7 linked regions of the Ovis aries genome follow. The protein of the gene in region 6 purifies or fractionates together with the protein of the main gene of each other region. This does not show direct contact. Links are inferred from orthologs where the notes say so. Each region holds a gene or a part of one and is shown on either strand. Other genes may lie near its edges.

What was found.
Region 1: the proteins of CSNK2B (region 6) and ZNF687 purify together in Homo sapiens (co-immunoprecipitation; 3 studies listed by BioGRID and IntAct, with this or other methods). This does not show direct contact. The link is inferred for Ovis aries from reciprocal best matches to the Homo sapiens genes CSNK2B and ZNF687.
Region 2: the proteins of CSNK2B (region 6) and CEP170 purify together in Homo sapiens (affinity purification with mass spectrometry; 3 studies listed by BioGRID and IntAct, with this or other methods). This does not show direct contact. The link is inferred for Ovis aries from reciprocal best matches to the Homo sapiens genes CSNK2B and CEP170.
Region 3: the proteins of CSNK2B (region 6) and GPATCH2 purify together in Homo sapiens (co-immunoprecipitation; 3 studies listed by BioGRID and IntAct, with this or other methods). This does not show direct contact. The link is inferred for Ovis aries from reciprocal best matches to the Homo sapiens genes CSNK2B and GPATCH2.
Region 4: the proteins of CSNK2B (region 6) and NKAP purify together in Homo sapiens (co-immunoprecipitation; 3 studies listed by BioGRID and IntAct, counting the BioPlex papers as one, with this or other methods). This does not show direct contact. The link is inferred for Ovis aries from reciprocal best matches to the Homo sapiens genes CSNK2B and NKAP.
Region 5: the proteins of CSNK2B (region 6) and KAT6A purify together in Homo sapiens (affinity purification with mass spectrometry; 3 studies listed by BioGRID and IntAct, with this or other methods). This does not show direct contact. The link is inferred for Ovis aries from reciprocal best matches to the Homo sapiens genes CSNK2B and KAT6A.
Region 7: the proteins of CSNK2B (region 6) and RPS6KA4 purify together in Homo sapiens (affinity purification with mass spectrometry; 3 studies listed by BioGRID and IntAct, with this or other methods). This does not show direct contact. The link is inferred for Ovis aries from reciprocal best matches to the Homo sapiens genes CSNK2B and RPS6KA4.

What each region holds. Positions count from the first base shown.
Region 1 is NC_056054.1:101,198,050-101,201,149, reverse strand, and holds part of ZNF687 (zinc finger protein 687), read right to left. Parts: intron 2,967-3,100; 5' UTR 2,950-2,966; coding exon 844-2,949; intron 698-843; coding exon 519-697; intron 93-518; coding exon 1-92. UniProt on the Homo sapiens protein: May be involved in transcriptional regulation.
Region 2 is NC_056065.1:33,253,039-33,256,538, reverse strand, and holds part of CEP170 (centrosomal protein of 170 kDa), read right to left. Parts: intron 2,320-3,500; coding exon 484-2,319; intron 1-483.
Region 3 is NC_056065.1:20,347,057-20,351,073, forward strand, and holds the start of GPATCH2 (G patch domain-containing protein 2), read right to left. Parts: upstream 2,801-4,017; 5' UTR 2,705-2,800; coding exon 2,649-2,704; intron 1-2,648. Other genes in the region: SPATA17 (spermatogenesis-associated protein 17), read left to right, coding at 3,122-3,189. UniProt on the Homo sapiens protein: Enhances the ATPase activity of DHX15 in vitro.
Region 4 is NC_056080.1:114,588,889-114,592,928, forward strand, and holds the start of NKAP (NF-kappa-B-activating protein), read left to right. Parts: upstream 1-1,240; 5' UTR 1,241-1,363; coding exon 1,364-1,749; intron 1,750-4,040. UniProt on the Homo sapiens protein: Acts as a transcriptional repressor. Plays a role as a transcriptional corepressor of the Notch-mediated signaling required for T-cell development. Also involved in the TNF and IL-1 induced NF-kappa-B activation.
Region 5 is NC_056079.1:36,183,158-36,185,932, forward strand, and holds part of KAT6A (histone acetyltransferase KAT6A), read right to left. Parts: coding exon 493-2,775; 3' UTR 1-492. UniProt on the Homo sapiens protein: Histone acetyltransferase that acetylates lysine residues in histone H3 and histone H4 (in vitro). Component of the MOZ/MORF complex which has a histone H3 acetyltransferase activity. May act as a transcriptional coactivator for RUNX1 and RUNX2.
Region 6 is NC_056073.1:26,713,242-26,717,167, forward strand, and holds the start of CSNK2B (casein kinase II subunit beta), read right to left. Parts: upstream 2,801-3,926; 5' UTR 2,676-2,800; intron 2,076-2,675; 5' UTR 2,065-2,075; coding exon 1,993-2,064; exon of another isoform or gene 1,276-1,992; coding exon 1,173-1,275; exon of another isoform or gene 665-1,172; coding exon 549-664; exon of another isoform or gene 102-548; coding exon 26-101; exon of another isoform or gene 1-25. UniProt on the Homo sapiens protein: Regulatory subunit of casein kinase II/CK2.
Region 7 is NC_056074.1:39,108,489-39,110,705, forward strand, and holds part of RPS6KA4 (ribosomal protein S6 kinase alpha-4), read left to right. Parts: intron 1-1,479; coding exon 1,480-1,653; intron 1,654-1,733; coding exon 1,734-1,928; intron 1,929-2,217. UniProt on the Homo sapiens protein: Serine/threonine-protein kinase that is required for the mitogen or stress-induced phosphorylation of the transcription factors CREB1 and ATF1 and for the regulation of the transcription factor RELA, and that contributes to gene activation by histone phosphorylation and functions in the regulation of inflammatory genes.

The sequences.
Region 1 (3,100 bases), on a different chromosome or scaffold from region 6:
TGGGGCACTTGTGGAAAACCTCGCAGTGTGACGTCTGGATGTGGGACTTGATGGAGTTCACACCCCCAAACACCACTGCACAGCTGGGGCACCTTGGGGAGAAAGTCAGAGGCACGGTGGTGAGTGGGGGGCGTCCCTGCAGCCACCCCCAACCCCACACTCATTCTCGGGGACCGGGTGGCCTGAGAAGTTAATCGGCAGTGGAACATGAGCAAGCGGAGGAAGGAAGGAGCCACAGGACCCGGTCCCGGAGGGCAGGCCTGCGGAGGTAGAGCTGGTGCTCCAGAGGTGGCCCTGCTCGCCCGCTCCATGGGGCCCGCCTGCTCCGTGGGGCCCGCCCGCTCCATGGGGAGCGACGGAAAGGCAGGGAGCTCAGGCTGCACTCGCCAACACAGCATGGCTGCGTGATTCAGCAGGAGAGACGGGCTCGCCTTCTAAAAGGCTGGTCCCAGGAGCCACGAGACCATCAAGTACAGGAGGAAAAGTGTCGACATATGGGGAGGAGGTGTGGGAGGCACCTGTATCCTACGCGGCGAGAGAAATGTAGGCAGGCCTCCCGGAGATGGGTCTGAAAATTGGCTTGCAGAAAGTTGCCCCCACACTCAGGACAGACGTGGGGAGGCCGGTTCTTATGCATGCGCTGGTGGGCGCTGAAGCTGCAGCGGTTGGGAAGCATCATGGGGCAGGTTGGGCATACCTGTCGAGGGGGTCGAAACAAGGTGAGTCTGTGAGGAAGGCCCTGTCCCCCTTTCCTTCTAACCAAGCCCCCACACCTTCCTAGACCCTGTCCCCATGGCACCTGGCTGTCCCCTTCCCAGGGAGGGGCTGTGAAAGGCAACTCACGTTGCTGGTGGCCCCAGGGGCAGGGGGCCCGAGCTGCTGGAAGTGGGCAGCCATGCCAGCCTTGTCGCGGCACTGCTCCTTGCACTCCAGGCAGCGGAAGCACGTGTAGGTAGAGGTGGCAGGGGTGGCGGGTGGCTCCGTTGAGAGTGGCAGCACGGGGGCCTCGGCGGCAACTGCAGTAACGGCGGATGTGGTGACGGCCCCTTCACCCTTGCCCAAGGCGGGCAAGGCTGGAGGTCCGAGGGCAGGTGGGACAGCCAGCAGGGGCGTGATGTCCGGCTGCCCCACCATCTGGTCCAGGGCCACCGGCCTCATGACCAGGTGTGAGCACTGCATGACGAGCCCCTTGTCCTTGTGCTCACGGGCATGCAGAAGCAGGCTGCACTTGTTGAAGAAGACCAGGCGGCGGGCGCAGTGATTGCAGGTGACCTCAATGCGCATGCTCCGGCGGTCATAGTGTCTCGCCAGGCTCTTCTCCAATGAGAAGGCATCCCCACACTCGAGGCAGCGGTAGCCTGTGGGTGGCAGGGCCAGCCCGGCCTCAGCCGGCGGACTCAGGTTCGGCCGGTAGGCAGGCAGCAGGTTCTTGCTGTTGAGGATCTTGTTGAAGGCCTCCACCAGGCTGGACTGGGTCCGTGAGATCACCGTGCCACCTGCTGCCCCCGGCCCAGTGGCCGGCTTAGAAGGCTGCACCATTACCACCGAGGCGCCATTCACCTTCTGCCCCCCTGTCCCCAGCCCTGTCCTCCCCTCAGCCTTGGGCAGGGCTTGGGGCACCAGACCCAGCACATTCTTAGGCATCATCTTAGGGCTGGTGGCAGTGCCCCCAGGCAGAACCACCGCTTTGCGGGCCACGCTGGCAGCCATCAGCATGGCAGTACTTGCATTCTGAATGGTGGCCACAGGCAGCACAGTGCCCTTGAGCCTTGTGCCATCACCCAGTTGGACACTCACCACCTTCGGACCCTCGGGGGCTGGGGTTGCTGGGGACAACTTCAGGAGGTTAGCCTCCGCCAGGAAGCCCCCCTCAGCCAAGGGGGTAGGGGGATCAGGGTCTGAGGGGACCCGGGTTACGGTCCTTGTGATATTTCCGCAGGATGTTTTAATGGTCTTGATCCGCACCTTGAGAGGCCGAGAGGAGCTGGAGGCAGGGGAGTCATTGCTGTCCTCATCCGCAGCCTCAGCTCCACTGGAGGGACTCTGGGGACTTCCCGGGGAAGACTTGTCTACTGGTCCCTCATCCTCCTCTTCCTTCAGGGGCTGACAGCTGGGCTCTTTAGGGGAGGCAAGAGGGCTCTGGTGCCCCGGAGACTTCTTGAAGAAGGACACCCCTGCCACCTGGGAAGGGGAGGCACTGGCAGGGACTCCCGTGGCCTCAGGGCTAGCGCCTGAGCCTGGCTGGGAGAGGCTCTGGGGATGAAGAGGGCTGCAGCTTTCCTGCTTCAAGGCCCCCAGCAGTGGGGGAGAAGAAGGGGGCAGCAAGGCTGAGCCATTCTCCCGGGTCAGCTCAAAGGGAGAGGGGAAAGCAGGTGGGGTCAGGGCCCCTTCCCGAGGTGGGGAGGGCGCAGAGGGAGGAAGGGGATCAGGGTGCTCCCCTGGCTCAGGCCCAAAATGAGCAAACAGATCCAGTGGAGCTTTGCCTTCCAGGGACTTTTCTTTCCAGGTACCCCCACTAGGAGGAGCTGGAGAGCGTGGGGTTCCTGGAAGGGATGGCTCAGGGCCCCCAAAACCATTCTGCATCAGCCGAGATCCCAGAGGGCCTTCCTTCGTCACTCCCCCCGCCCGGGCCCCTTCCCCTCCTGAACTCCCAGCCAGGGACTCTGACTGCTCAGGACACACAGTGTTCTTGACGATGACGCTGACTGCTGAGACGTCCGGCGGTGGCAGGCTATGGTCAGAGGCCTGGGTGGGCCCCCCAGGGCCATCCCTGGCAGGAGCTGCTGTTGCTTCTCCAGATTCACCTCCTACACTGGGTTCAGGCTTCCCAGAGCCTCCTGGCCCCTCATTTTCTTCTGGCCCAGAATGGATGGCTTCATTTGCATCAATGTCAGGGATGTCAAAGGCAGCAAGGAGGTCATCAAAATCAGGGGTCTTCATGTCCCCCATGGCAATTGGTCCCAGACCTGGGGAGAACAGGGTTAAAAGTGAGAAACAGAGATGTCTGAAAGCAGGAACTCTGGACCTCCTCCCTCAGGATCTCTATATACATTCCCTCTCAGAAGCCCATGCACACTAACGGGTACACCTCCATCATAGT
Region 2 (3,500 bases), on a different chromosome or scaffold from region 6:
ATATCTCACCAAGTAGACAATTAAAATTCTCAAATTGGTTCAATATACTTCAAATTTTGAATTCACTATTTTGTACCAGGACTTTAAATGGAAGTGTATATAACTTCTGAATTTTCCTCCTGGTGGCCCAGAAGGTAAAAAATCTACCTGTATTGCAGGAGACCCGAGTTTGATCCCTGGGTCAGGAAATCCCCTGGAGAAGGGAACGGCAACCCACTCCAGTATTCTTGCCTGGAGAATTCTATGGATAGAGGAGCCTGGTGGGCTACAGTCCATGGGATCGCAGAGAGTTGGACACAACTGAGCAACTGACACTTTCACTTCACTTTCAAGCTAACTAAGGTGACTTTTTAAGGAACAAAACCCTCTACAGTATGATCTTTCTGCTGAAAATTTTGGGAATCGACACTAACAATTTTTCAAAGAAGAAGTCCCAAAACATAAAAGAAATACACTAATATAAAAAGTCTGGATCCAATTTACCTGAAGGAGAGCCATGTGCTGAGGTCATACTTTTGACCTTGGAGTCGGATAGTCGAGAGATACTGTTAGCTCTAATTCTAGGAGAAAATTTATCTGAAGGTACTAATCTGGCTCCACTTCTAATGATGGCTTCTGCGGTCCGTGAAGAGGCACTACTTCTAGAGATCGTTGCTTCAGAGTCACTGCGAGCCGATAATGAGCCAAGCCTTGTTCTACGAGGCTGAGCCAACAAATCAATCCTAGAAATGTTACGCCTTCCTGTGGGAGGTTTGGATGTCGAACTTGTTGTGGACACTTCAGAAGCAACAGATGCTTTGTCAGCATCAGCAAGTTCACTGTCCGAAGCTTCACCGAGTCGGGCTCTGCGCAAGAGGGAAGTCCTGGTAGGTCGTGGCCTTGGTAGAGTGGTGGATTTACTGGACGAACCAGGTGCTCCAGGAGAAGTCTTGGATTTAGTTACTTTACTTCCTTCTAGTTTGGAATGTGCGTGCTCATCAGTTGAGGTAAGTGGAGTCCTTCCATGAGATTTACAAGAGTAAGTTTCCTGGTCAGATGACATAACATCAGAGATGGCCGAGTGAGGTACACTAGAGGTTTGGTCATCATCTGTTAAATCTACTGAAGGCTGCCTTATTCTTCCACTGGACTGCACAAATTTACGACCCTCTGCCCGAGAACCTATATCTGCAGAACGACTTTTTGTTTTTTTTTCAATTTTCTCCCTAGCACCCGACGATGACGACTTTGTAACATCTTTGGAAGGAGAACCTGTGGAACACCTATCTTTATAGAGACTAGTGAAACTCTTTCGCTTTTGGGTTGACTTTCTTTCAGTCTCTCCAGTAACCAGACTGATGGTACTAGCTGTGTCCACATCAGATTCGGGTGAAATGGAGTTGTCTCTGTTATAACTGGGAGTATCTGGGCCTTCATCAGTTTTAGTATCTTCACGCAGTTTAGCTTCTAGAAAAGCCATTACTGCTTCTGTGTCTTTTAGAATAAGGGTCGTGTCCATACTAGAATCAGTATCCATAGAATCACTTCTTTCTCTTATTCTGCTGGCTGTTGTTAATGCTAAGGAAGGGGGTGTTGATAAAGGCTGTTTATTTATATGGGGGATAAGTTCTATGGGTATGTTGGGGCTAGGTTTTTCTATAGTGAAGCTTCCTTGTCGCACTAACGACTTGGAGGATTCCTTCTTGTCTCCTCCCTTTGAGGTCTGACTTTTCAGAATTTCCTCAGCTTTTCTTCTCTTACCCTCATTTTGTATTGCTCTTTCTCCTTTGCCTGCAGAAAGTCCTGGAATTTTTTCTTGAGGCTGTGACTCCTGCTTAAAAGACTCCTCCCTACATCTATCTATCTGACCCGCAATGGTTTTTGAAGAAGATAATTTAGTAGGTGTCCACTGTGCCTGTTCCTTTTGTTCTTGTTGCTGGATTTTAGCTAATGTTTGCTTTACCAAAGAAGCTTCCTTATCAGTTTCACTTTTCTCCTTCCCAGAGTAAGAGCTGCCTAAGTGAAGCAGGGCTTTACTATCTCCACCATTTTTAAGAGTCTCACCATTTACTGCCCTGTTCATTTTACTCAAGGCTCTGTCAGTGTCTTGTTTATCTTTCTGGTATACCTGGGCAGGTGCTTCTTTCTCCTGAAGCTCCGTGTCTTGCTTTTCTCCTATCTCTGACCTCTGTGCTATAACCTTTGTTCTGGAGCTCTCAAGAGACTTTTCTTCACTTGGAAGCTGGGGAAGGGTTCGTCTCCTTCTCTCTCCCTGACTAGCCAAGGAAGCTGCTGAGCCAGTACTTCTCAGTGAAATGCCAGATTCACTGATGTCTGTATCTATAAAAGAAAACAACAAAAAAGGAACTTACTGGGGCAAAAATGTGAAAATAAAACAAATGTCATATTACCTTAGATTTTGAAGTTAAGAAATGGCTTAAGTATAAAGTAAAACTTTGAAGAAATAAGCCAACATTTTGACAGTATAATTGAAAAAGAAAATGCAACACTGAGATGCACAAATAGGAGAGCAAATTTTATGAGATGAAAATTAGGGTCATCTTATCTTAAACCTACATCTGTTGCTCTCTTTTTCTTTTAATGTCATTAATGGAAGAGAAGTTCACATTCTTGCTTTTGTGACTTGTCCCATCTGTGAATTTCACTCACAAAAAATGGACTCTGCATAGTATATACAGAAGTGTAAAAATAATGTCTAATAAACAGTTTATATGCTATACTTTGAATTACATAGTAAAGAATAATAATATACCTAAATTTTAACAAGCATATTATCTACTGAAACAATGACAAGTCTGGATTTCCTAATAAAACAGAAAACGTAGAACTTTAACAATGTTTTCTCTTTATTTAATTTTTTTTAAACAATGTTTTCTAAAAGAAAAAATTCAAAGTTAATTAAAAGATTTTTAATAATTGTAAGAAAGGAAAAAGGTGACAGGACTTGTCATAATTTCACAAACTGAGTTATTTTTAAATTATGATCTTCTGGTATATTAAAGCCTCAAACTGAGAAGTTGATGGGAAAATATAAAACTTCAACGTTTCCATGTGAGAGACTTTGAGAATATTACTTAAGGAGTACTTTCCTGTTTATAAATGAAATGTATTTCTGAGAAAAGGGATCTTTTTAGGGAAATATAAATTGACATATAAAGCATTTAAACCTTTTGGGTATAAGTGGAAAAAAGATACTAGATATAGCTTCTGTGGTCATCCCTTTATAATTCTAAAATTTTAGCATCTAAATTTCATAGCTATACTACGGCTATAATGTAGAAAAATACTTAATGACTTACTAATGTAACTTTAATTTAGCAAATGATCGTGTTATTTGGTTATGTCTTATCTCCACAGTACTACTTGAAGCACTAAACTTATTTAGTTATAGCTATTTTATCTTTTTGTACTTTTCTAGCATTTCTCACACTGTCCTGGCTCGTAACACACACTCAATGAATATTTGACAAGAACATTTTAAGTAGATTTATCAGCTTATC
Region 3 (4,017 bases), on a different chromosome or scaffold from region 6:
CCTTGTGATATGGTATCTCATTCAGATGCACAGGCAGTACAGCAGGATAACTAAGAAATTTTTTTTAGATATACTGGAAGTGTCCCTCCTCCAGGGAATCTTCCTAACCCAGGGATCGAACCCAGGTCTCCTGTATTGTAGGCGGATTCTTTTTACCAGCTCAGTCACAAGGGAAGCCCAGATATACTAGAATCATACTGCAAATATGATGCTTGGCTAAGTTAATAATACTTAAACAATATCTGCTCCTGTCTTGCCATCTCTAAAATGCAAAGAATAACAGCACCTATTTCAAAAGATTTATTGGGTTGACCAAAAAGTTTGTCCAGGTTTTTCCTAACACTGTAGAAAAATGCCCAAACAAACTTCTCGGCAACCCAATACATGAGATGACATATATACACAAAAGCTGGCACCAATTACCTACACCGACTAAGTAGCATCCTGACTGGCACTGAGATGTCATCACTGGGACAAAACTCACATGTTTAGTACAGTCAATGTCTGATGAATGAATGAAAAAGAAAATTCCATTAAGAAAGTCTGAATAACAAGATGGTTGCACAGATAAACTAGAAAATATAGGATCCAAATTTCTGGAACACTCACTGTCAAATCAGGCATAATTCAAGAATTTTATTCAAAACACTAATAACATGCTAGGCACTATATTATACTCTGATGCCGTAAGAAAGGACGTAGTTCATCTCAAGAAAAATAGAGAACTGAAAGAAAGTTCTCTATATCACAAAAAGGATGTGTGTGTGTGTGTGTGTGTGTATGTGTGTGTTTGTGTGTTCAGTCATGTCTGACTCTTGGTGACACCTTGGGACTATAGCCCCCCAGGCTCCTCTGTCCATGGAATTTTCCAGGCAAAAGTACTGGAGTAGGTTGCAATTTCCCACTCCAAAGGGATCTTCCCTTACAAAGAGGGACCTAACCATGATTTGGATAGGAGGAGGAAGAGGAGTTTAAGCAGTCATATTTTCCCATTAAACTGTCATCTATCCTACAAATCAGTAATCACTACAGCAAGAGCAGACCAATCTATACGGCACATTTTGTCTCCCCTTCTTAAAAAGATGCTGAATGGTGAAACATTAAGAAAGGTAATCTGGAGAGGGACTCGTGCTTGGGATGATGGAAACGTCTTATATCTTGCTTTGTGTTGTGGTCACACAGTATATACAACTGCCAAAACTAAAAATACTAAACACTTAAGAACTATGCGTTTTATTTTATGCTAATTACCATTAAAATAAAATGCTCTTTAAAAAAAAAAAGTGCTCCTTATTTTTCTCACAGGAAAATGTATTAAAAAGGAGCATAACCAAGATAATAATTTCCTGTGCTATACCTTGTATCCTTGTTGCTTATCTACTGTGTACACAGTAGCTTGTATCTCAATCTCATACCCCTAATCTGCCCCATTTCCATTATTTTGTAATAATGTTTAATGAAGTACAATCTGTAAAAATACTGAATCACAGTGTTGAACACCTAAAACTTATACAATATTGTAAATTAACTATATTTCAACTAAAAAAAAAAAGTCAAAGGAGCATAACCAAGTCTTTTCATTATAAAAACAACTACAGAACGATCTGATCTCATTCAAAACATTTTAAGCAACATATTCTTTATTCAATGATAGATGATGCAAAAGAACTTCTTGGAGATCACTAACTACTAGAATCCCTCAGATTCTCATTTGCTGCAGAATCTAGGAATGGACTGACACATTTCAGCTGCATTTCACCTGTTGTTCAACTTTATGGTTTGAGAACGTCATTGGAAATTTTGTTTGTGTCACTGCTTGTCTTGGAGGAAAACGTCTTGTGAGAAAAACAGGAGTAGAAATAGTTTTCAACTAGGAATCCAAAACCCAACTTCCAGCTCTAGGGCTAAAGCCTGCATGGCAACACTGAACAAGTCCCTTAACCATTCTGTGCCTGTGATAATCTCCTATCACAGGCCCTTCATAAGGATAAAACGTAGCAATTTGTTAAAGAACTTTGCCAAGTCAAAGCAGCTTATTATTCTAAAGTGGTTTAGCGGTATAATACTGCAGTCGAACCCTAAATTTAACCCTGACATTTTAAGTTCTCAGGGGACATCCCATGCACATCTCATCTGAACTAGAATGGAAGGTTCAAGGGACAGAAACTGGTAGGTTACACCTACTCCAAAAGAGGGGGCGTAGGAAGGCAGTCTCCTCCACTTCTAAACTTCCAGAAGTCTAGATTTCTGGGAATTGATCTTCGAAAACACCTGGTACAATCTTGCAAATTTAAAAAGGAAAATGAGGAAATAATGCCTATAGTAAGATAGATTCTTCTGTAATCCTCGTCTTGTCAACAGTCAACGAAGAAATGAATTGCTCCGGGCGTACAGAAAGCTTTCCTCCTACATTATTGTGGCGTAGTAGACAAGCAATCAGCAAGCATTGACTGTATTCCTTCGCAAATCTTTAGCACACACTTCCACGCCTTCCTTAAACTGCGTCCATCCCAGGAACGAAAAGAGAGCAAGGCCTAAAGGTCTTCAGATCATCCATCACAACTCCCTCCCCCTTCCATTCCAGGTCCAGCGGCCCCCGGCCATCACACCCTTTCCGGATCGCCCATCCCCAGGGCGGCCAGCCTCACCAGCTGTTCCCGGCGGCTGGAGCTCCGATCGGTTGGCGCCCGGCGGCCCCGAACATTAACGACACCCAAGAGCCTGGCCTCGAGGCTCAGGCCCGAGAACAGACTCCAACTACCGCACCACCAGCGACTTCCCAGGAGCAGTTCAGCATTTTGAGCCGAGCTTCCGGAAGCCGACAGCAGGCGGAAAACGGAAGCTGGGAGCAACCATTAGTTCCCCTCCCCACCTCCACTGCTTCTTTCTCTGAAAATCTCCTCTTTTTTCCTCAGAGAAGGGAGAGGGGTCAATAATTTGAAATCTTTAATTATCAACGTTTCTTAGTTTTTCTTTCTGGTGTTTCGGACACTGAAAGAGTGTGGGAGGAAAAAAATGTGAAGTCAACGAAAGTTGAATCCCCGAGATCTGGGTAATGGTTTAGCCCGGTTGCCTAGGAGACCGAGAGTAACTCCGGAGGTGCAGCGGGCGAGCGGAGGCTATGGCCACGTTAGCCAGGCTGCAAGCCCGGTCGAAGAGTATAGCACAGCAGTATTACTACAGGAACAGGTAGGGTATCAATTAGGGGAGCGCGAAAAGGCCTGGCTTCACCCCCAGCCCGTTACTCCTCAGCAGGAACGTCCTGTGAATTCATTTCCTAACTCACTGAGTACCCCTCACTTCTCTTCCTCGTTGGTAGTCTGCAAACAGAATCACGAATTTTTGAAAGTAGTGTTAGCAAACAGGGGGATTCCCGATGCAGGGGGCCACGGTTATCATCTGGAGATAATTTAAGTAAAATTCCAGTAGAAATAAAATTGTACAATAAGTGCTTTCCTTTGGCATCATCACGCCACAATGGGATGAAACCTGTGTCCTCTTATGGAAAGTTTGATGGCCTCACTGGGCTCACCCTGTCTCCTTAGGTGGGTGAGCTCGGAGTGTCCCCCATCTACCTCCATTATGTCACGAATGTCGCTGAACTCAACTGTTCTATGACTCACTTGTCTTCCCAGAGTGGCAGTATGTAAACTATTCTGACAAGATAATACCAATTTGTTAAGAGGGCTGAAGAAGACACTGGCGGCCCTATCCATCTCTACACCTAAGCATCCTACAAAAGGTTCATTTGAACAGTGGTCTTCTGGACGCAATGCCTCAGGACATTTTCTAAGCTAAGAGAAGTTCCAAAAAAGTGAAAAGGACATTGGTAGAATATAGTGACACACCAGACCAATAGAAAATATGCCAAGAAGACAGTCTTGCTGAGCTGTTCTTATTCTAACATTTATCTCCTCTGCTACATTCTTGGGCTTCCCTTGTAGCTCAGCTGGTAAAGAATACACCTGCAATGCGGGAGACCTGCGTTCGATCCCTGGGTAGGAAAGAAGTCTTGGC
Region 4 (4,040 bases), on a different chromosome or scaffold from region 6:
ACTATGTCAAAGCCTTTGACTGTGTGGATCACAATAAACTGTGGAAAATTCTGAGAGAGATGGGAATGCCAGACCACCTGACCTGCCTCTTGAGAAATCTGTATGCAGGTCAGGAAGCAACAGTTAAAACTGGACATGGAACAACAGACTGGTTCCAAATAGGAAAAGGAGTACATCAAGGCTGTATGTTGTCACCCCGCTTATTTAACTTATATGCAGAGTACATCATGAGAAACGCTGAAGCTGGAATCAAGATTGCCAGGAGAAATATCAATAACCTCAGATATGCAGATGACACCATCCTTATGGCAGAAAGTGAAGAGGAACTAAAAAGCCTCTTGATGAAAGTGAAAGAGGAGAGTGAAAAAGTTGGCTTAAAGCTCAACATTCAGAAAACGAAGATCATGGCATCTGGTCCCATCACTTCATGGGAAATAGACGGGGAAACAGTGGAAACAGTGGCTGACTTTATTTTGGGGGGCTCCAAAATCACTGCAGATGGTGATTGCAGCCATGAAATTAAAAGACTCTTACTCCTTGGAAGAAAAGTTATGACCAACCTAGATCGCATATTCAAAAGCAGAGACATTACTTTGCCGACTAAGGTCTGTCTAGTCAAGGCTATGGTTTTTCCAGTAGTCACGTATGGATGTGAGGGTTGGACTGTGAAGAAGGCTGAGCACCGAAGAATTGATGCGTTTGAACTGTGGTGTTGGAGAAGACTCTTGAGAGTCCCTTGGACTGCAAGGAGATCCAATCAGTCCATCCTAAAGGAGATCAGCCCTGGGATTTCTTTTGGAAGGAATGATGCTAAAGCTGAAACTCCAGTACTTTGGCCACCTCATGTGAAGAGTTGACTCATTGGAAAAGACTCTGATGCTGAGAGGGACTGGGGGCAGGAGGAGAAGGGGACGACGGAGGATGAGATGGCTGGATGGCATCACTGACTCGATGGACGTGAGTCTGAGTGAACTCCGGGAGTTGGTGATGGACAGAGAGGCCTGGCATGCTGCGATTCATGGGGTCGCAAAGAGTCGGACACGACTGAGCGACTGAACTGAACTGAACTGAACTGAACATGTAGATCTTAGAATTGAGCAGCCTCATTCGGAACCCGAAGGATGAGGGAACCTTGTTGCCCCACCGGCTTCCTTACACGGCTACACACATCCCGTTCCTGAGTCAGTAGGACCGCCTAGGTCTGGGGAAGGAATTTGCCGACGTACCCGGAACTGTTTCCAAGGTTTCCTCGGGTTCTGGCGGAGGTACGGCTGCCGGTCCTGGGAGCCAAGGCAACGGAGAATTTTCCCAGGCTCGCGCGAGCGCCCCCTTCACCCACGGATTCAGGGACCCAGCAATAGCGATGGCTCCGGTGTCTGGCTCCCGCAGCCCGGAGTGGGAGGCCTCGAGCTCCGGGGGGAAGCGTCGCAGTTCTTCGAAGAGCCCTAAGCCTAGCAAATCCTCTCGCTCCCCGCGCGGCCGCCGCTCTCGCTCGCGCTCTTGCTCTCGGTCCGGGGACCGGAATGGCCTCAGCCATCAGCTGACTGGCTCCAGCCAAGGCTCCCGAAACCAGTCCTACCGTTCGCGCTCGCGATCACGCTCTCGAGAGCGGCCCTCCGCACCGCGCGGCGCCCCTTTCGCTTCTGCCTCCTCGTCTGCCTATTATGGCGGCTACTCACGCCCCTACGGGAGCGACAAGCCGTGGCCTAGCCTCCTGGACAAGGAGAGGGAGGAGAGCTTGCGGCAGAAGTGAGTGAGACGAACGCACTTTCTTTCGCAAGCCCACCAGCCTTTAGAGTCCGATTTATCGTTCATTTCGCACCCGACTGTTTGCATTTCGCTCTCTCCCTGACTTGCGCGCGTTTTCATCCTTTCTGTCAGTCCACCCACGATGACGCCTTATTCATCCCTTTCCATCGTTAGGTTTTTCCGCTCATCCTCCGGCCCCTTCATCTAATGCCTTGGTCTCCCTCCCGCTACCCCTTCCAGCCTCCTGGCTTGTTGCGGGCATGGTCAAGAGCCTCGGACCTGCCGGAATTACAGCATTTACTTGGTTGTGTCGTTGTCATTAGTGATCACGTTTTCATTCCCCAGTAGACTGAGCCCTTGGAAGAGCCCAGATTATTGATCACAAAATTTACAGTGCAGAGCACTTTGTAGGTGCGCAACCATTGCTTGCTGAATGATCAAACAGGTTTGAGACAATAGGATAAGTGAGTGGAGTTGTTTTGCAGCGACTTGGGAAAGGTTGAGATATAAGGTTTAAATTGGAGGGGAGGGGAACCTCTGAAACAAGATGACTAAATGTAGGGAAAAAATGATGTGTAGGAAAAAATTATCTGTTAAACTGTAAGGTTGGACTACATTGAGAAAGATCTTAAGCGGTCTCAATCTTCAGCATGAAAAATGAGGTCAGATTGACATCAGATCTTCTTTAATGACTGAGTATTGGAGAGGAAGATGAATAGTTTAAGGGGAAAGGAAAATAATTATAATTACTGTTTTGTAAGCTTTATTTTTTTTTACTTAAAAGAATTGAAGTATAGTAGATATATAGTGTTTTTAAGTTACCAGTGTACAATAATATAGTGATTCACTATTTTTAAAGGTTATACTTCATTTATAGCAGTTATGTGCTTTGTAATTCTTAATATCTAATGCTTATTGAGTGTTAAATTGTGTGTCAGACACTGTACTGATCATACTGTATGTGTTTAAAAATAAAAAAAAAATTTAAAAGTGTAACAGGCATTGAGGGGCAGGTTAAGGTTTCAACAATTGGGAGATAGCTTGAGTCTTTTTCTTCCAAAAGTGGGGGCCACTAAAGTCTAGTGATTAAGAGAACAGGCTCCAGAATCAGACTGCCTGAGTCTGAAGCCCTCCTTTGTTGCTTAATACTTGTGTGACCTTGGGCAAGTTATTTAACCTCTCTTAGTTTCATTTCTTCACCATGTAAAAGGGAAAAATTAGTACAAAAGCTTTTTAGAGATGTAATGATTTAGTGCCTGGAACACAATAAATTGCTCTTAAGTGTTAGCTGTTAGTATTTTGTGCATGGGAACAGAAACAGTAAAAACAGTCCTAAAATAGATTGGAGACTGACTTCTCCAAATTAAAATTTCCAGAAGGTAACCCCCAGGCTGTGTCCATCAAAAAGCATCCAGTTTCCATGCTAGACATTCCTTACCAAAAGATGTCAGAATTCCTTGGATGAAATTTTCGTTTGTACATTTAGGAAGTAAATAATTTTAAAGTATCCACGAAGTTGGGTGGCAGGAGGGATAAGAACTTTACTGCTTGGTCTTTTTAGCCTGTCAAGCATTCTTCATCCTGTATGTATGTATTCAAAGTTTAGCTATAAGTATGTCCTCTATTAGATTTTATGTTACTTCAAGTAGGAAACCGGAGTCTAACTCTGCACAATTATACCTTTTCCCCTGAATAAGGAAGAAAAAAATATTTTGTTTTAAAAAATCAAAAAGGATTTTATTTCTTTAATAAGGTTCTTCTTTTAAACAAGTGGAGTCACAGCAGCTGAAGTTTGAAGAAGTAAACCTTAGTTTTTGTTGTGTATTTGTGTGTTTATAAGGAATATCAAACATTAAGAAATCACATGTTTGGGAATGCATGTAAGAATTAAAGATTTTAAAATTAAAAAAATAAAAAAGAAATCACAAACATAAAACAAAATAATTTTGTTTTCCAAGGGTAGATAGAGAATTTACTCCTTTTTGAAAAAAAAATTAGGGGAAAAACAGAAAACAAACGCTATATCTCATTAAGTAAAGTTTTGTCAAAACTTTTCTTTTACTTTCAAAGGTCCCTTTATTTTCTACTTCTAATGCTTCATTTTTATTTTCTTCATTAATTCCTGACTTTTTGAAAACGAAGGTTTGACCTTGTCAGGAGTAGAGAATTCTCTTTACTTTCATAAGGATACATAAACAAATGAAGTTATTTCCAAATGTAAGACCATTTTTGTCACATATTGCAGAAGATGAAATGAGCAATTGGGAGCTGTGTGATGCATGTACTAGAAA
Region 5 (2,775 bases), on a different chromosome or scaffold from region 6:
GCTGGAATGAAGTAGGGAATGAAAGGCTGGGTGTGGAGGAAAAGGGTCTGGCTAACCCTCGAGATGTATAAGTAACATTTAAAAATGACGACACTGGGAGCTGCAAACACTTGAGGGGAAACATACATTTTAAAATAAAATAAAGATAATTCACTTTTACACAAATTCTGTCCATGTGGCGTGTAAAGAAAGTAAGGCTCTTTTTAATTATGAAAAGATTTCTGTGCATGTTTCCCCTATCCCCAAATCCGTTTTTAGATGAGTTCTATTGTAAAATGTTCAAGATTGTGAAGAAAACCAAAACCCAGAACAAAATGAACCCCCCCAAAAAAAGACCAGGTTTTCTAAAAAATAAAATAAACCAAAGAAAAATTCCTCTAAATCTACAGCAATATTTTAACTGGAAAAAAGGTCCATTTTTCTCTGGTTTGTCAGTATAAAAGGTTCCTTTATTTATATATATTTAGGTTCTGAACTGCAAGTCCGTCTTGCTCATCTTCTCATGTAAGGTCCGTTGAGCGACTGCTTGGGCACGCCCGCCGCGTTCATGTAGCTGTGATGGGAGGGGCCCGTGTACATCACGTTTCCGTGCGGGCTCGGCTGCATAGGCTGCTGGGGGTAGGCCTGGCCCCCCATCACCCCCATCTGCATCTGCATAGGATACTGTGCTGTCTGGTTCATGTAGGCCGGGTTACTATGGTAACTGCTGTTCATCATGGGCTGGGTCATTCGATAGCTGTTCATGGCGTTCAGGGTGTTCATATTCATGGAATTGACATTATAGGCAGGGGTGGGCATCAAGTTCACCCCCATGTTCATGCCACGCTGCACGGCCAAGGCACGCGGGCCGGCCTGCATGGCGACCGCGGGCGGGCTGCGGCCGTACAGCTGCTGCTGGTGAGCCGCCGCGGAGGGCAGGGGCGCCGACTTGGAGCGGATGGAGATGTGCCCCTTGACGGGCATCTGCCCTTGCAGCCGCTGAGTGTGGGGAATGCCAATGTTGGTGGCAGACATGTTGCACTGCAGCAGAGGGGACGTGAGGTTCATGGTGGTGGAGGCCAAGTTCGGGGGCGGCGTCATGGTGGCTTGTGCTTGAGGGGTCCCCGCTAAGGGATGCGATGGAGCCAGCTGAGCCAGTCCCGTGTTGGACAGAGAAACACTGGTTGCATAGGAAGTCACAGCAGGAGAATGGCTATAAGGCATGGCATGGGGGTCCATAATGGTGTTGGTCAGCTGCTGCAACTTGGCTAGACTGAAGGTGGCCGACGGCTGGGAGTAGCTGCCGGCCCCAAAGTCCCCGGGGATCCGCTCGTAGATGCTGATGTTCCCCGCGCTGCCGGACTCGGGGATCTCCATGATCATGGGCGCCGGAGTGAAGCTGTTGTTCATGCTGCACTGTGACAGCGGGGGCTGCTGCTGGGGCGGGGGCGGGGGCTGTGGCTGCTGGGGCGGGGGCGGGGGCGGGGGCGGCGGCTGGGCCGGTGGTGGGGGCGGGGCCGGCGGCTGAGGCTGTGGCGGGGGCTGCTGCGACGGCTGGGGTGGCGGCGGCTGCTGCGTGCTGGGAGGCCTCTCGACCGCACAGCTCTGCGGGGACTTGATGCCGCAGTTGGCGGCGGGCGGCACGCTGCTCTGCGGCATCAGGCTGCAGCCGCCGCCCATGCCAGCCATCTGCTGGGTGACCACACAGCTGTTCTGGGTGAGGCTGCTGGAGGACGACAGGCCGTAGGAGCAGCTGCTCTGGGACGAGCTATTCCCACAGATGCTGCCGCCCATGGTGGAGTCGTAGCTGCTGGGGTTCTCGTAGTTCTCCGTGGTGCTCTCGATGCTGCCCAGGTCACTGAAGCCGCTGTCCACCACCTGCTGGGAGTGGTCGGATACGGAAGGCACGTCCATCATGGGGCTGGTCTCCATGTTCTGCATAGACGGGGCGGACAGGGATCCTTGCTCCGGGCTGATCTGCGTGTAGCCCCCTTCGAGGGCGGGCACGCTGGGGCTGCTGACCGAGCGCACTGACTGACTGGGGTGGGACTGGACGGAGGACAGCGGGCTGTTGTGCTCCGAGGCGTGGCAGTCCTCCACCAGGGCCAGCGGAGGGTCCTCCTCGGCCTGCGTGTAGCTCTGCAGCGTCTGGCAGGCGGCCAGCGTCTCCTCGCAGTCCTGGTAGGCGCCCTCGTGCTCGCCGCGCTCCTCCTGCGTCAGGGACTGCACGGCCTGCACCGTCTCCAGGTCCAGCTCGCTGTGTGGGATCTCCTCCTCCTCCTTTAGCTCCAGTAGCTCCTCCTTCGAGCGCGAGTCCTCCTCGCGGTCGTCCTCAGAGCCCGGCATGTGCTCGGACACCACGGATGCCTCGTGTGAAGTCTGCTCCTCCTCAGAATCTGGCTCCATCTCCTCCTTGTCTTTCGGGTTCTCCCCGCTGCCCTGCACGTTAGGATCTAAAAAAGCCTCCCGGCCGCCTGGCTCCTCCTTGACGCCCTCCCGCGCCGGCGGCTCCCCTGGCTCCTCCTCCTTCTTGGCGGGCTCCAGGTGGCCGTCGTCCTCATCATCCGCGTCGTGGTCTTCGCTCTGGTTGGTCTCCGCAGCCGTGTCCTCCTCCTCCTCGGGCTCCCGCCTGGCCAGCTCCTGCGGCGCCTCCTCCGACGGCCGCTGCTCTGCGGGGACGCGGAGCTTTTCCTCCTCCTCACCGGCCTCGGGCTCCTTGGCTTCGGCCTCGGGGCTGCTGGCGTCGGCGGGAGAGGCTGCCCTGACGTCACTGCTGGTGGTGTCCTCCTCCTCCCC
Region 6 (3,926 bases):
CTCCTTTCCCTTTCCCAACACTCACCGATGGGAAGCATTGGCTGGTTCTCACAGTACACACGGGGACAGTATCCAAAGTCTCCCTGCTGGTACTTTTCCAACTGATGTGAATGAAATTGAAGGAGTTGGTGGGTAGGTATGAAGAAAAGAGGCAACCCCCTCCTCAGCCCAATCCACATCACTGTGTCCCCAACTCCTTCTGCCTCTTAATGTCCAGAGGCCCCTTCTCTGGCTCAGATGGGCCTTCAGACTCCCCTGCTTCCTTTCATCCAGTCAGGCAGTCTGAAGATCATCAGACATTCACTGCTTATTCCCTGAGGAAGAGGCAGTCTACAACTTTCTGCTCTAGGTCACATCTCCCTCCCCCAAAACACTCCCTTCACCTCAACCCTCAATCAGGTCTTAACCCCTAGGCCCAGATTCTGGGGTTCTTTCCCCTCTTCTCAGCTAGATTCCGTGACAAGGCTGAAACGAGTGACTTCTTGCTGATGGAAACTCTGCTTCCCTGTTGCCTCTGAAGGAACCGAGTAGGAGTAGAGAGGCCTCACCATCTGGGCGATGCCACGGTTGGTGAGGATATAGCGGGCGTGGATCAATCCATAGAGCATTTCGGCTGCTTGCTCAATCAGGTCACTCTGGTTGGGGTTGTCTTCCAGCTCCTCATCTGAAACATGGCACCAGCCAAATGCAACCACTTGTCTTACAACTTTTTAAGGTGCCCTGCCTACTCCCAGGGGCTGCTGGCTCTTCAGCCCAGCACCCAACTTGGAGCCTCACCCCACCCACAGCCTGGGCCTCTGCCCCTTCCACCAACCCAAGGGTTTCTTTCCATCCCTCTCAGCCTCTGCTTCCTTCTCTTTTTTAATAAATAAATGCAAAGATGTCAACACAGAAGATAGAACTCTAACCTGGAAGGGGCAAGGAAGAAGATAACACCCATGGAGAAACTAGCATTTTCGATAAGTGCTAAGTTATAGGATCAGAGTATGAGAACAAGTGTAGAAGTCACAAAATTAGGCAAGAGTGAGGTATGGAATCAAAATGAAGTAAAGGATTTGGGGTTAAAAGGGTTAGAGAACCAAAAGGAAATTTAGAAATTCATGAAGCAGATAAACAAGGTGTGAATAGGAAAAAAACAGCACACACACAAAACAACCCTGAGGGTGTCTCACCAGGCTCCAGGTCCAAGATCATGTCTAAAGCTTGTCGATAGTGAGGCACCTGTTCATTGAGTCCAGTGAGATTGAATTTGTCCTGGATATAGTCTTCATCCACCTGTCAGGACGTGAAGTCAAAAGGAAACCCAAAGCAGAATCCTCAGCTTTGACCTGGGCAGGGTGCTCTAACTCGTGCCTTATCTTCAACACAACTGCTTCATTCCCTTTGTTCCACACTCCCAACTCAGCAGAAGTACTTGAACCTCTCTCCCTAGTTCGTGTATACTGCCCACCCAGAAGAGGTCTGGCTTTTTTCTCCTAAACATAAGCAATCCCCTCCTTACAGAGGCAGTCCTTTCAAGATCCCTGTCCTGATTCCTGTTCCTAGCTCTAGGAATCAGTTTTGGCCTCTCCTGAGGGGCAGCTGGCTCTCTGAGGAAGGTGGGGGCTGAACAGCTTGGATTCTGAAGTCAGTTACACTCCCTTATGTTAACACACAGCCATGCTATAAAACATTTTAACGTGAAGTGTTTTAATTCTCCTAATAGCTACCAGAAATACATACTATCAGTACTTCCCTGGTAAAAAAAAAAAAAAAAAAAAAAAACAACACAGGTTGACAAGTCCAACATTAGGCTGTTGGAGGGTGGCAGGGTTGACTTGGGGTCTCAGTCTTGACCCTTCACCACAAGTTAGAGAGCGCTACTAAGGAGACTCCTCCTTGACAAGAGTTTTTACTAAAGTATGTAAGAGAAGTGTGTGGAAGCTTTATGTGCAGGAGATTATGTGGCCAGATTACATGTGGAGGTGGATGGTAGGGTTGAGGAGAACTCACCTCACAGAAGAATTCATTGCCACGGAGCCCACAGAACCAAGAAATCCAGGACACCTCCTCTGAGCTGCTCATCTTCACGTCGGCTAGAGACAGAAGAGTATAAGCCTAAGCTCTCCCTCCCAACCTCTGGTATCCTCACTCCTCCCACACTTTGCCCTCAAACCATGGAAGAATTTGGGGCTACCCTTTTCTTAAAGAACCCGAGACTGGAGCACGTCTCTCTAGCTCCTCTTATTTACATTCCAGCCCCTTTTCACTGAGATTACATAGAGAAATTCTTCGGGGTCCACCAGCTGTGAGAAACCGACAGGTCTTGACCCCACTAGTCCTACCTCCATCCCTGACGCTCCTGAAAGCCAGGCCCCTCTCTCCTCCGTGTCAACTCCGGTAGGGCCGTGGCTCAAGCTCCCTACCCCCGCAAGTCTCTGGCCCCATTCTCAAGGGTTCCGAAGTTTATCCTTTCCAAGCAAGAGCTGGGCCCTCCTTTTCTCATGGCCTATAGGTGGTGGTCAGGTCCGTTTCATAGAAGTCCCGACATCCCGCCTCCACCCTTCGGGCCACCTCTCCTACCCTCGGTGCCGGACCGGGTCATTTCCTTTCCCACCCCCACATCAAGACGCGGAGACCCCATGTGCCGCGCCCAGGGACAGGGGACATGGCGCGGCGACGACCACCACACTCACCGACTGGACGGGGACTGGGACCGGGGGACGGGGAGGGGAAGGGGAGTTTCTGCTTCCAAAGACCGCGACGACGGCTACAACGCAGGCCGCGGACCCGACCGCGGCAGGCGAAGTGGGGTGGGGGGAGTGGAAACTGGGGAGGGTGGGGAAGAGGGCAACGCGCAAGTGCTTAGAGTTAGGAGCCGCGGTGCATGCCGGGAAATGGAGTCCTTGGGAAGAAGAAACTGACGAAACTAGGGAAAAGCGAACTACAAATCCCAGGATGACCCGCGCACGACCCTGGTGTCACGAGGCCCCGGGGGAGGGGTACGCTGGGGGCGGGGCGCAGCAGGGCACTGCGAGCCGCCACCGGAAGCGGAAACTCAGTACCGCGTTCTGGGCCAGGTAGCCTGGGAAATATAGTCGTGTGATTCCGGGGACTGCAGGGCCATGGAGGGGAGGGGGTGGGCCGGGAGAGGAACTAGGCTGGCTGGTTGCTTCTTGCTTCTCCCATCAAACAGCGAGCCTCAGGCCTCGGCGAGACTTTGCTGCCCGGGGCATTGACCTCATCCCCAGCCAGCCAGCCCTCCTGGCCCTTATTGCCTTGCTCCTTGGAGTCAGCCCGCCAAGGAGACCCGCGACGGGGCCCTTGTTTCATCCGGGGTTCGCGCAGCGGAGGCGGGAGGTGAGGCCGGGTTCCATGCTGAGGGTCCTGGGTAGGGTGTACTGGGATGAGCTGAGCGGTGTGAGAACCAGGACGGCCCCGTGGGCTAACCTGAGGTGGTGCCAGCCATTCTGCTGCTTGTCCCCTTGCACTTCTCCATTTCCTCTTAGGGCTTGAACGGGGCTGCTGTGGGCGCTAAATGCGACCTTCGAACCCTGGTCAGAGTAATGGTGAGGGGCTGCGTGACGTTATTTCATTTCAGGGTTTCTGGGCATTCTCCGCCTCAGAGCCTTTTTTAACCCTGAGAGTGATTTCCCAGGTCCAGAAAATGAGCTCGGAGCGGGGGCCACGTTGAGGGAGGAGGCGAAGGGCATTGTGGGGGCGTTATGTAAAAACAGAACCCCAACCGACGGATCTTTCTCAGTCCTCGCGCTGCCCCGGCACGTGGTGCGTTGTGCTTCTGCTATGGAAACATTCCAGGGCGGGAAAAACCCGGCGCTAGCGCGCGCCTGCACCCTCAGGTGTTTTGTTTTGTTTTGTTTTGTTTCCCCGGCCACGCATGCGTCTTTGTGCCCTGTGATTATTTGTCGACTCCTTTGCTTAGAGTA
Region 7 (2,217 bases), on a different chromosome or scaffold from region 6:
TTTTGCGGGTGGGTTTTAAGGTGGCCACAACAGAGAGGGGAGTACCAAACCACCTTACCTGCCTCCTGAGAAATCTGTATGCAGGTCAAGAAACAACAGAATCGGACATGGAACAACGGACTGGTTCCAAATTGGGAAAGGAGTACATCAAAGCTATATATTGTCATCCTGTTTATTTAACTTATATGCAGAGTACATCATGCAAAATGCGGGCTGGATGAAGCACAAGCTGGAATCAGGATTGCTGGGAGAAATATCAATAACCTCAGATATGCAGATAATACCACCCTTATGGCAGAAAGCGAAAACTGAGGAGCCTCTTCATGAAAGTGAAAGAGGAGAGTGAAAAAAGCAGGCTTAAAACTCAACATTCAAAAAATGAAGATAATGGCATCGGGTCCCATCACTTCATGGCACATAGATGGGGAAACAATGGAAACAGTGACAGACTTTATTTTCTTGGGCTCCAAAATCACTGCAGATGGTGACTGCAGCCATGAAATTAACAGACGCTTGCTCCTTGGAAGAAAAGCTACGACAAACCTAGACAGCATATTAAAAAGCAGATATTACTTTGCTGACAAAGGTCCATCTAGTTAAAGCTATGATTTTTCCAGTAGTAATGTATGGATGTGAGAGTTGGACTATAAAGAAAGCTGAGCACCGAAGAGTTGATGCTTTTGAACTATGGTGTTGGAGAAGACTCTTCAGAGTCCCTTGGACTGCAAGGAGATCAAACTTGTCAATCCTAAAGGAAATCAGTCCTGAATATTCATTGGAAAGACTGATGCTGAAGCTGAAGTTCCAATCCTTTGGCTACCTGATTCGAAGAAGTGACTCATTGGAAAAGACCCTGATGCTGGAAAGATTGAAGGCAAGGGGAGAAGGGAAGGACAGAGGATGAGATGGTTGGATGGCATCACTGATTTGATGGACATGAGTTTGAGCAGACTGCAGGAGTTGGTGATGGACAGGGAAGCCTGGTAGTGCTGCAGTCCATGGGGTCACAAAGAGTCGGACACGACTGAGGGACTGAACTGAACTTCAAGGTGGCCAAAGGGACTGCTGCTGCTGCTAAGTCGCTTCAGTCATGTCCAACTCTTTGCGACCCTGTGGACCGAAGCCAGCCACGTCCTCTGTCCATAGGATTCTCAGGCCCAAGAACATTGGAGTGGACTGCCATGCCCTTCTCCAGGGGATTTTCCCCACCCAGGGATCCAACCGGCATCTGTTACCTCGCTTGCATTGGCAGGCGGGTTCTTTACCACTAGCGCCACTGGGAAGGAACAGTACGGGGTAGAACGGCAAGCGAGTCCTAAGATGGTTCTTGGAGGGGCGTGGTGATAGTCTTGAGGTCAGGTTTGAATGTGGTAGGAGCCTGAAACTGGGGGCGGGGCTCGATGGTGACCTCAGGGCGGGATCCGGCGGGCGGGCGGGGTCTCAGTAGGCGGTGACCCCGGCCCGTCACGCTGCCCGCAGCTGCACACGTACCTGGTCCTGGAGCTCCTGCAGGGCGGGGAGCTGCTGGAGCACATCCGCAAGAAGCGGCACTTCAGCGAGTCCGAGGCGAGCCAGATCCTGCGCAGCCTCGTGTCGGCAGTGAGCTTCATGCACGAGGAGGCGGGCGTAGTGCACCGCGACCTGAAGCCCGAGGTGAGCGCACGGCCTCAGCGCATCGGGAGGGCCTCGGCGCGGAGGGCCGGGTTCTGACGGCCGCCTCGCCTCCCTCGTAGAACATCCTGTACGCCGATGACACGCCCGGGGCCCCGGTGAAGATCATCGACTTCGGGTTCGCGCGCCTGCGCCCGCAGAGCCCCGCGGGGCCCATGCAGACTCCCTGCTTCACGCTGCAGTACGCCGCCCCCGAGCTGCTGGCCCAGCAGGGCTACGACGAGTCCTGCGACCTCTGGAGCCTCGGCGTTATTCTGGTATGGGGACGGCCTCTCTGAGCGGATGTCAGGGTCCTCCGAGCCTGGGGACAGCAGTCCTCTTGGTGGGGGTGGCAGGATTTGGTCTGAGGCTGGGATAAGATGTCCTGATACATAGGCGGGGTCGCTCTGGTGCTGGGGTCTGGGCACCCTAGTTTGAGGGGTAGAGTCCATCACCCATGGACCTCAGGAGTTAGCCTCTTGGAGACAGTGCATGGTCCTGTGGTGGGTTGAATCAGTCTCCTGGCCTCCATTGGCCCCTAGTCTGGGCTGGTCTCACTTTTCACCT